Coturnix japonica: one gene and its partner. The protein of the gene in region 2 purifies or fractionates together with the protein of the main gene of each other region. This does not show direct contact. Links are inferred from orthologs where the notes say so. Each region holds a gene or a part of one and is shown on either strand. Other genes may lie near its edges.

What was found. Proteins that work in one complex are often made in the same cells at the same time.
Region 1: the proteins of RALBP1 (region 2) and REPS2 purify together in Homo sapiens (affinity purification with mass spectrometry; 3 studies listed by BioGRID and IntAct, counting the BioPlex papers as one, with this or other methods). This does not show direct contact. The link is inferred for Coturnix japonica from reciprocal best matches to the Homo sapiens genes RALBP1 and REPS2.

Annotation. Positions count from the first base shown.
Region 1 is NC_029516.1:109,364,161-109,368,603, reverse strand, and holds the start of REPS2 (ralBP1-associated Eps domain-containing protein 2), read left to right. Parts: upstream 1-1,240; 5' UTR 1,241-1,299; coding exon 1,300-1,497; intron 1,498-4,443. UniProt on the Homo sapiens protein: Involved in ligand-dependent receptor mediated endocytosis of the EGF and insulin receptors as part of the Ral signaling pathway. By controlling growth factor receptors endocytosis may regulate cell survival.
Region 2 is NC_029517.1:88,793,056-88,797,049, forward strand, and holds part of RALBP1 (ralA-binding protein 1), read right to left. Parts: coding exon 3,835-3,994; intron 1,861-3,834; coding exon 1,511-1,860; intron 1-1,510. UniProt on the Homo sapiens protein: Multifunctional protein that functions as a downstream effector of RALA and RALB. As a GTPase-activating protein/GAP can inactivate CDC42 and RAC1 by stimulating their GTPase activity.

The DNA.
Region 1 (4,443 bases), on a different chromosome or scaffold from region 2:
GCAGTGACAGGTTTGCCTGTGGCTGTTAAGAGAGACCACAGTACTTACGGCAGTGGGCATTGTCACTGTTTTCCTGCCATGGTCCCACTCAAAGAACTTAGAGAAACTAGGGCCAACACACTGATGGAGGTCCTCTGGTGTCTGGCTGGGGTGCTGCAGAAGGGAGTATTTGTGATGCAAACAGCACAAATACTGAGTTAGTCAGACCCTAATTTCACAGGACTGCTGTTATTAAACACACTGTAGTTAGGTAAAGCCCTGTGCCATCTCTATGCTGTTAATACCATTTCCTCTGACTAGCACCTTGTACCTGACAGAACCTGGCAAGCCCTGATGCAGCCCAGCCTTTGCTCTGCTGCACCTTCTCCAGGGGATTGATTCACTTTGCTCTTCTGAGTTTTCTAATTTGGGCTCCAGAGTTCACTTTCTAACACAACTGCTCTCTTTCCAAATGATATAAAACATATTGTTATAAAACAATGACAAAACACCACAGCAAAACATCCACTATCCCCGAGGGAACAGAGATTTCCCTATTAACAGTCCCCTAACACTCTTATCGTAATTATCAGCTATGCAGCTGGCAATAACTGCAGACCACAACCACGCAGCGTTCTGAGCACTGAGAAGATCGACACACGTATTCATGGCAGATTAGAGGAATAAAAGGTTTGCATGTTTTGTGCAGATTAGGAGGCACCGTTGCATGGTGTGGAAAGGATAAAGTAACTTCCATACTGTCTTCACAGGAGAGTTGTGATCATTTTTGGATCATTTTGTGGCCCTCCTCTGGATGTGCTCCAACAGCTCCATGTCTCTCCTGTACTGCAGTCTCCACATCTGGATGCAGTACTCCAGGTGAGGCCACACCTATTTAGAGCAGAGGAGCAGGATCACCTGCTGGCCACGCTTCTTTTGACGCAGCCCAGGATACGGCTGACTTTCTGGGCTGTGAGGGCACATTGCTGGCTCACGACCCAACTTTTTGGCAGGGCTGTGCATCACACAGTGCCCAGGCAGCTCCTTCAGCAGCAGCCGGCACTTTCCTAGAGACTGCTTGGCTCCTCTCTGCCCATGGATGCACACAGCTTCTCACACCAGCGCTGCCCTGCGGCACGGCAGCACTCCCCGGGGCGCTGCGGCCCCGCACCGTGCGGTGGGCGGGAGGGGGCGCGGCCTGCACCTTCCTGTGGCTGCGTAGCACCGCCTCCCTCCCTCCTTCCCTCCCTCCCTCCCGCCGCCGCCACACCTCCCCCGTCGGCTCGGCACCCGCTGCCCGCCGAGAGGCTGTGCCCCGCCATGGAGCAGGGGCCGGCGGGGGGGCCTGCAGCAGCCGTGTCCGCCGCGGGTGTGTTGGTGCCTCTGAGCGAGAGCGAGCAGCAGCGCTACTCGGAGCTCTTCTCGCGGTGCTGCCCGCCCCCCGAGGCGGCCGCCGGGGGCAGCAGCGTGGGGGAACTATTCCGGGCCTCGCAGCTGCCCCCAGACACGCTGCACCAGGTGGGTCGGGGCGCCGAGGGAGTGAGGAGGGGGAGTGAGGGGGGGCTGGGAGCTCGCAACCCCGCCGTGCATCGGCGGTGGCAGCCCGAGAGCTCCGTGTTGGGGGCTGCGGCGGAGCTCAGGTGGGAGCCGAGGTCCCGCGGGGTTGAGGAGGGGAGCCCCACTGCCGGGGGGTTGTTTGTTGGCGGCCTTTATTTGCCAAGCAGAAAGAAGCGCTGTTAGCGCTGGGTAGCAGCACGGCGGTACCTGGCTGCGGCCACAGGGAGTGGAACTCCGCTGTGTGCCGGGAGCTGTCAGCCCGTCTCTTCGTGGCTCCGCGTTACATAAATCCCTATCGCACAGGTGGAAGCGGGGATGTTTCTTGCGTGTTTTTTTTTTTCTTGTCCTCGCTTCGCTGTTTGCCAGTTGTGTAAACACAAAAGGCAGCCGTGCTGCTTGGCTTTGAGTCGCACCGTGGCCTTCGTTATGTGTGGAGAGAACAAGGGTTGCCCACAGAGCCAGCGCCGAGAGTCCAATTTCAAGTAGCAAGTCTTAGTTGCGGAGTGTGTTAAAACCCTGTCAGCAGATTTCTGTGTTTTTGGTGTAGAGTTGTAGAAAAACGCTTCTTATTTTTGCTATATAAGTCCTTATCCTAACTTTAAAGTAAATCTTGCTGTGTTATTGTGGTTCGCTTTGGGGGTTGTTTGGGTTTTAATGTGAAACTTAAGCCTGGAAACGCCATTTTTCAATATTCTGGAACTTCTTTTACTTCCCTCCCCCCCAGCTTTAGATTATTTCTAGGTATATTTATGATGTGAAGAGAATATTACCGAGAAACAGGTCTGTAATTGGCTTCAGGAATTGTCAGGTTAATAAGGCCTTTGGGACCTGGACTGTTTCTCTCCCCTTTCTTGCCCACCCCCTCTTGTTTATATGAGACCAATCATGGTCTGTGGCTGGAACTCCTGTCCCAGAGCCTGCTGCTGTCAGGTGCTCTTATTAACAGTCTTTTTTGAAGTGGAAAAAATAAATGAGTTATGAGTTAAAAAATAAATGAGTAACGGGGGAGAAAAAAGGGTAAATGTGAACCTTCTGATGTGAGAAAAGCTACTTCTTTTTTTTTTCAAGGTGCTGAGCTGGTGCTGTTGCCTTCAAGGTGTTATAGTTGGGTAGTAATGAGATAGAACAGAGAGACATGTTCAGAGAGGCTGTGGATGACCCATCCCTGGAGACACTCAAGGTCAGGCTGGACGGGGCTCTGAGCACCCTGATGTAGCTGTAGGTGTCCCTGTTCATTGCAGAGGAGTTGGACTAGATGGCCTTTGAGGGTCCCTTCCAACTCAAACCATTCAGTGATTCTGTGAAAGAAGGAGCTTTTTGTTATCCAGCTTTGATAGAGATTTCTTGTTGACTGGGAAAGGTGCTGAACTGAGTAATGGGAAATCTCCTCCAGAGCAGATAGGTAATGTGAGGGAATGTGCCAGAAGAGGAAGTGCTGGAGTAAATAGGAAACAATCCAAGAGCAGTCGGGTCAGAAGGAGCAGATGGTATGCACCCAAGAGCTGCGAGTCTCGCTAAGAATGAAGCGCTTGAACGCAGATTTATTAAACACAGGCTTGTTAAAATAAAAAATGACCCCATTTTAAAGCTGGCCATTGGTGAGTACAGCCTTTGCTCATTGTCTCTGCGGTCCCCAAATGCATTTGTGTTGTATGCCACATGCCAATGGACAGAGGTTTGCATGGATTTCAGGTAAAATAGAGCTTCCTGTAGTTACCATCGGCTGATCAGCAAAGAGATGCCTTGTGCTAGTTCTGTTTGCCTGCGTTACTGTGGGTCTGTGAAGATTCTGAGAAGTGAGGGAGAAGGAGGATAGGAGTCAAGTTTTACACTGAACTGCCTGCCTTTGTTATTAATTTTTTACTCAATTAATTTTCATTTGGTTGTTGATGCAATCTTTAATTCTAGTTTTTATACACTGTAGTCTTATTTGTGGGCTTGCAGTATCAGCACAGAGATCCAGTTCTATTAAGGAAGCGCGTTCCTTCCTCCACAAATGAACAAACTGTGTTATTTTGAGCTTTGAGGATGACAAGTACTAATTGTATGACTTTGGAGGCTGCACAGAGCTGCATTTTTTAGTTAGACCTCTCTGTCCAGTTCTGTGTGAATGGAGGATTCAGACCAGGGGGTCTTGCTTTTCCTCTGCATGGTCTGTGTGTTATTTTGTTGTTTGTGGTGACCTGTCTCTATAGTTACACTGAATTGTTTAACTGTCCTGTTGTGTTCAAAAAGCAGAAGTGTGAACACATGAAAAAAAGGGGGGAAAGGGAGGAAGGGAGAGAAATTGCAAAGCTGCTATTTGCTGTTTCATTGGAAAAATACCAGCAAGGGTTCACTTTTCCATCATTTATTTTTCATAGGCATGAATATCTACCTGTGTGGTAGCCAGGGTGGCATTGACTGTGTGTGCCCCGGTGGCGCAGTGGTAGAAGTGCCGCTTGCAACACCAGAGTCCTGGGTTCGAATCCCCTGTGGCACAAGTGGTAGAAGTGCTGCTCTGCTACACAGGGCTCGAATCCCGGGGGTTGGACTCAATGATCTCTAAGGTCCCTTCCAACCCGCACCAGACTGTGATACTGTGATACTGTGTAACTGTCTGCTTAGAATGTTTTCCCTGGGCGGTAAAGAAGTGTGGCAGTTAAAATAGGAGCTTTCTGAGTGAGAAAAGCCCGGACTTATTGTTGCTTGACAAAAAGTAAAGTTCACTCTGTTGTGCTCCTTGTGTAATTTGGCATTAAACTGTTCTCAGCACTGGAAGTGTGATAGAGCTGAGTGAAGAACACCAGCTCTGTCAAAGAGGTGTTAGGTAGGAGTGCACGCGGAGAAACTGCATCCAGCTGACGTCTTTGAGTCAGGAAGAAACAAAGAGGAGGTGCAATTTTCTGTCAGTGTTACAGCAAGAAG
Region 2 (3,994 bases):
GGGCATGGGAGTAGTTCAGATGATTTCTTCACATAATCTGCACCTGTGAAGCACAGTATCTTTCTCCAGAAGTGCAACGACCTTCCATCACTCACAAATACATTGAATGGTTTGGGTTGGAACGGATCTTTAAGATCATGTTGTTACAACCCCCTGCTATGGGCAGGGACACCTCCCTCTAAACCAGGTGGCTCAAGGCCACATCCAGCCTGGCCTTCAATGCTTCCAAGGAGGGGCATCCACAACCTCATGGGACAGCCTGTTCCAGTGTCTCACTATCCTCACAGCAAAGAATTTCTTCCTAATATCTAGTCTGAATCTACTCTCTTCCAGTTTAAAGCCATTTCCCCTCATCCTGTTACTACCTGCCCTTATAAAATGTCCCCTCCACAACTTTCCTGTAGGTCCCCTTCAGGTACTGGAAGGCCACTGTAAGGTCCCCCCAGAGCCTTCTTTTCTCCAGGCTGAAGAGCCCCAACTCTCTCAGCCTGTCCTCATAGGGGAAGTGCTCCAGCTCTCTGACCACCTCTTTCTTTTTGCTCATGCAAAGGTGGAAGTGGTAGCAATAGGTAAGCAGGAGCACCAAACATTCTGTGCTATGGATGGGCTGCCTTCTCTCTTCTCCCAAAACTTCAGTATTTTCACCAACTTCTCTCTCAGATTCAAAACAGTTTAAAAAAAAATGGCTTGAAAGGAGCTGTTATCGTATTCCTTGCTTTAAAATGAGACAGAAGCAAATATTTATTCAGATGCTATGTCTTCCATTAACATTTAAAAACGCATCCTGAAAGAAGGATTGGAATTCTGTATACCCAAGTCATAGAATCATAGAATTACCCAGGTTGGAAAAGACCTTGAAGATTATCAAGTCCAACTGCACCCTAACCATAGTACCCTAACTCTAACAACCCTCTGCTAAATCATATCCCTGAGCACCACATCCAAATGGCTCTTAAACACATCCAGGGATGGCGATTCAACCACCTTCCTGGGGAGCCTATTCCAGTACATAACTACCCCTTCTGTAAAGAAGTTCTTCCTAATATCCAACCTAAACTTGCCCTGGCACAACTTGAGGCCATAAGTCATCACTGCATCAGCAAGATCTGTTTGCAGTACAGGGTTCAGTGGCTTGATAGTAAAATTAAGCAACAGAATAGTCTTCACTGAGTCATCACTGCATCAGAAACACAGAAATCCTACATCCGCTTGAATTAGCAGATTAATTCAATGTTGAATTACTTGTGCTCACGGAATAAAAAAGCCCAGTAAGCAATCTTTGCACTGTTTTCATAACAGCAGATACAAGACTAATACTATGCAAGCTCACCTTCAGAAAGTCTTCCCCCTCCCTACTTTCTGTGCATTTTATGTTCTCAAAGTATAAAGAAGAGATTTAATTCAGCTTAATTGTATCAGACAGTGCCTGATTCACACATGCAAGAGAACTCCTATGAAGAAACCTTTCTTGTGCTGACACTCTGCTCTAGCACCTGTGTGAGGCACATACCTGGACAGTAGGGCTGAGCACTATAGAAATATTCTGGATGTTCATTTTTGTTTCCAGTTCCTTTGCGATAACGTGGTCCATATGCACAATGAGCCAAGAAATGAGGAGATGGTTACACTCCGGCAGCTCTTTCAGCAGCCTCTGGCACTCCTGGACTTTCTCAGCTTCTGTGCTCTTTCCACAAGCATCTTCAAAGCGGGGCATTAGCTCTTTGGTAAGCAAGTTTTCAGGCAGTTCACGTAGGTACTGCTTCAGCAAGCTGGCTACTGTATTGGGCTCATATTCTTCCAGGTTGGGAGATTCTTCTCGGTCATAGGCTGCTTTGAGCTCATCGACTTTTGACTTTATTCCTGAAAATATTTAAATAAAGAATTAAGATGATTTTTCAGCTCTACATATATAATAGTTGTAATACTCTTATTTATTTATTTCTTTGAGAAGCTCTTCTCCTTACAAATTAAACTAATTGAAGAATAGCTTTTAAAGATCATTCACATGTGACAAAACTGCAACTCAGGATTAACATGGTCACTGTATTTAAAAGCACTGACCTCAGAGCTTCTGCCTGACATCCAATCTAAGCCTTCACTCTTTGAGTTTAAAACCACTCCTCCTTGTCCTATCACTGTTCACCCTTGTAAAAAGATGATTCCCCTTGTTGTTTCTCTCCATTTAATTTCTCCCAAGTTGTTCCATAACAGCTCTCAACCAAACAGCAAGTATGTCCTTATCAACTCCAATACTGTGCAAGAAATTCTAAACGTGAGCCTTCCTCTGTGAAACCAAGCCCACACAGTTTAGTTTTCAGGTTTTCAGCTGGAGAAATCTCACACAGCATTTTGGTTTGAGGCAATGTATGAATAAACACGGGGAAGTTCTTCACTAGGAGAGTGGTTAGGCCCTGGAACAGGCTGCCCAGGGAGGTTGTGGATGCCCCGTCCTTGGAGGTGTTCAAGACCAGGTTGGACAGGGCTCTGGGCAACCTGATCTAGTAAATGTGTATGTTTGGTGGCCCTGCCAGGCAGGGGGGTTGGAACTACATGATCCTTGAGGTCTCTTCCAACCCGGGTCATTCTGTGATTCTGTGTGTGAAACAGGTGTTCATGTAATTATTCAGACTTGCCAGTATTTTTGCACAGTGTTTTTACAACTCAGTGACATTCAAATCTTCCTCAAGTCAGAAAAGTTTCTTTCTTAAAGCTCAAACACCCATTTGGCTTTCAGTGACTTACTGCACTGCCATATGTTGGCTCTGGTACAATAAACAAAGCTGGGTGCACCCAGCCCACGGTAAATGCCAGCTAAAATGTGCTCTATTTCATGTCCCAATAAGTTACTCATCACAAGTGCTGGTACAGTGCTAGGCCGTTGTCATTCAGAGCCCTCAATTTAAGTACTCTCGCACACACCAGAGGGTGCTATTGCACTGGAGAACACCTGGATGGTACAAACATCAAAAACACCTTATGGAAAACAAACCTCCCGTGAACATCCCAACTCAGCCTGCCCTGAAAATAATGTACTGCCAGAATGGTCTCACGGGTGAGACTAAGAAACTGCTGAGCATCCCTACCAAGTACCATGCAGACCATCAGCATAAGGACAGCTGAATGAAGACGTTAGCAATTGTTTGATCACTGCTCTGCAGCACTGCTAATAACTTGTTCCGAGTGCTTTCCCCCAAGTTCCTTTTCTCACTTGTTTCTGCTCCCTTGAACGTGCACACTGAAACACTTGCTTGGGTTTCACTGCAAAGAGTTCACAAAGGGATTGTTTTGTTTAACACAGCTACAAACCACGCTGCTTTATGTAAGCAGGTGTTACACAACTCCTGTGGTTAATTATCCTGCTGTGGCTAAGCTTAAATGCGAAACTTGCATTTTCTGCTTATTAGTGACTTTGCCCAAACAAAAGAAGCTTTTAAAGAAGAAAATTATACACAGTAAAAAGCAACAGTGAGAAGCTTAAGTCGTAAAATGGTTATTTCTCATCCTTGCTTTTCCCATCAACTAGAATAGCATTTCTCATGCAGAAGTAATACAAATAAAAAGAATACAAGCTTGCCAATGCAGCACATTTTATTCATACTTACCATCACCCCATCACAACAGGTCTAATTAGATATATTTTTACCTCCTTTAAGCAGTACCATGACATGAGCTACTTTTCTGGTATTTCAGGGTTTGCTTAGCTTTAGCCACCTGATTATCTTTCCAATAATTAAAATCAAAGTAGCTCTAAATAGCATCTCTAGGTGTTTAAAGAGGTAAGTCAATACGACAAGTGCAAAATAAAGAACCTGTCCGTCAGTACACTCAGAATACCTGAAACTCTGTAGATGCCTTCACACTTCATGCCATACTTCTCTACGTAATCTATACATTCACGGAAAACTGCAGGCAGGCGGATGCCATCGTACATCATGGTCCTGTCCACGGCGTCAGACAACGGAATGCCAAACACGGGTCTGTGACTTGGAACATC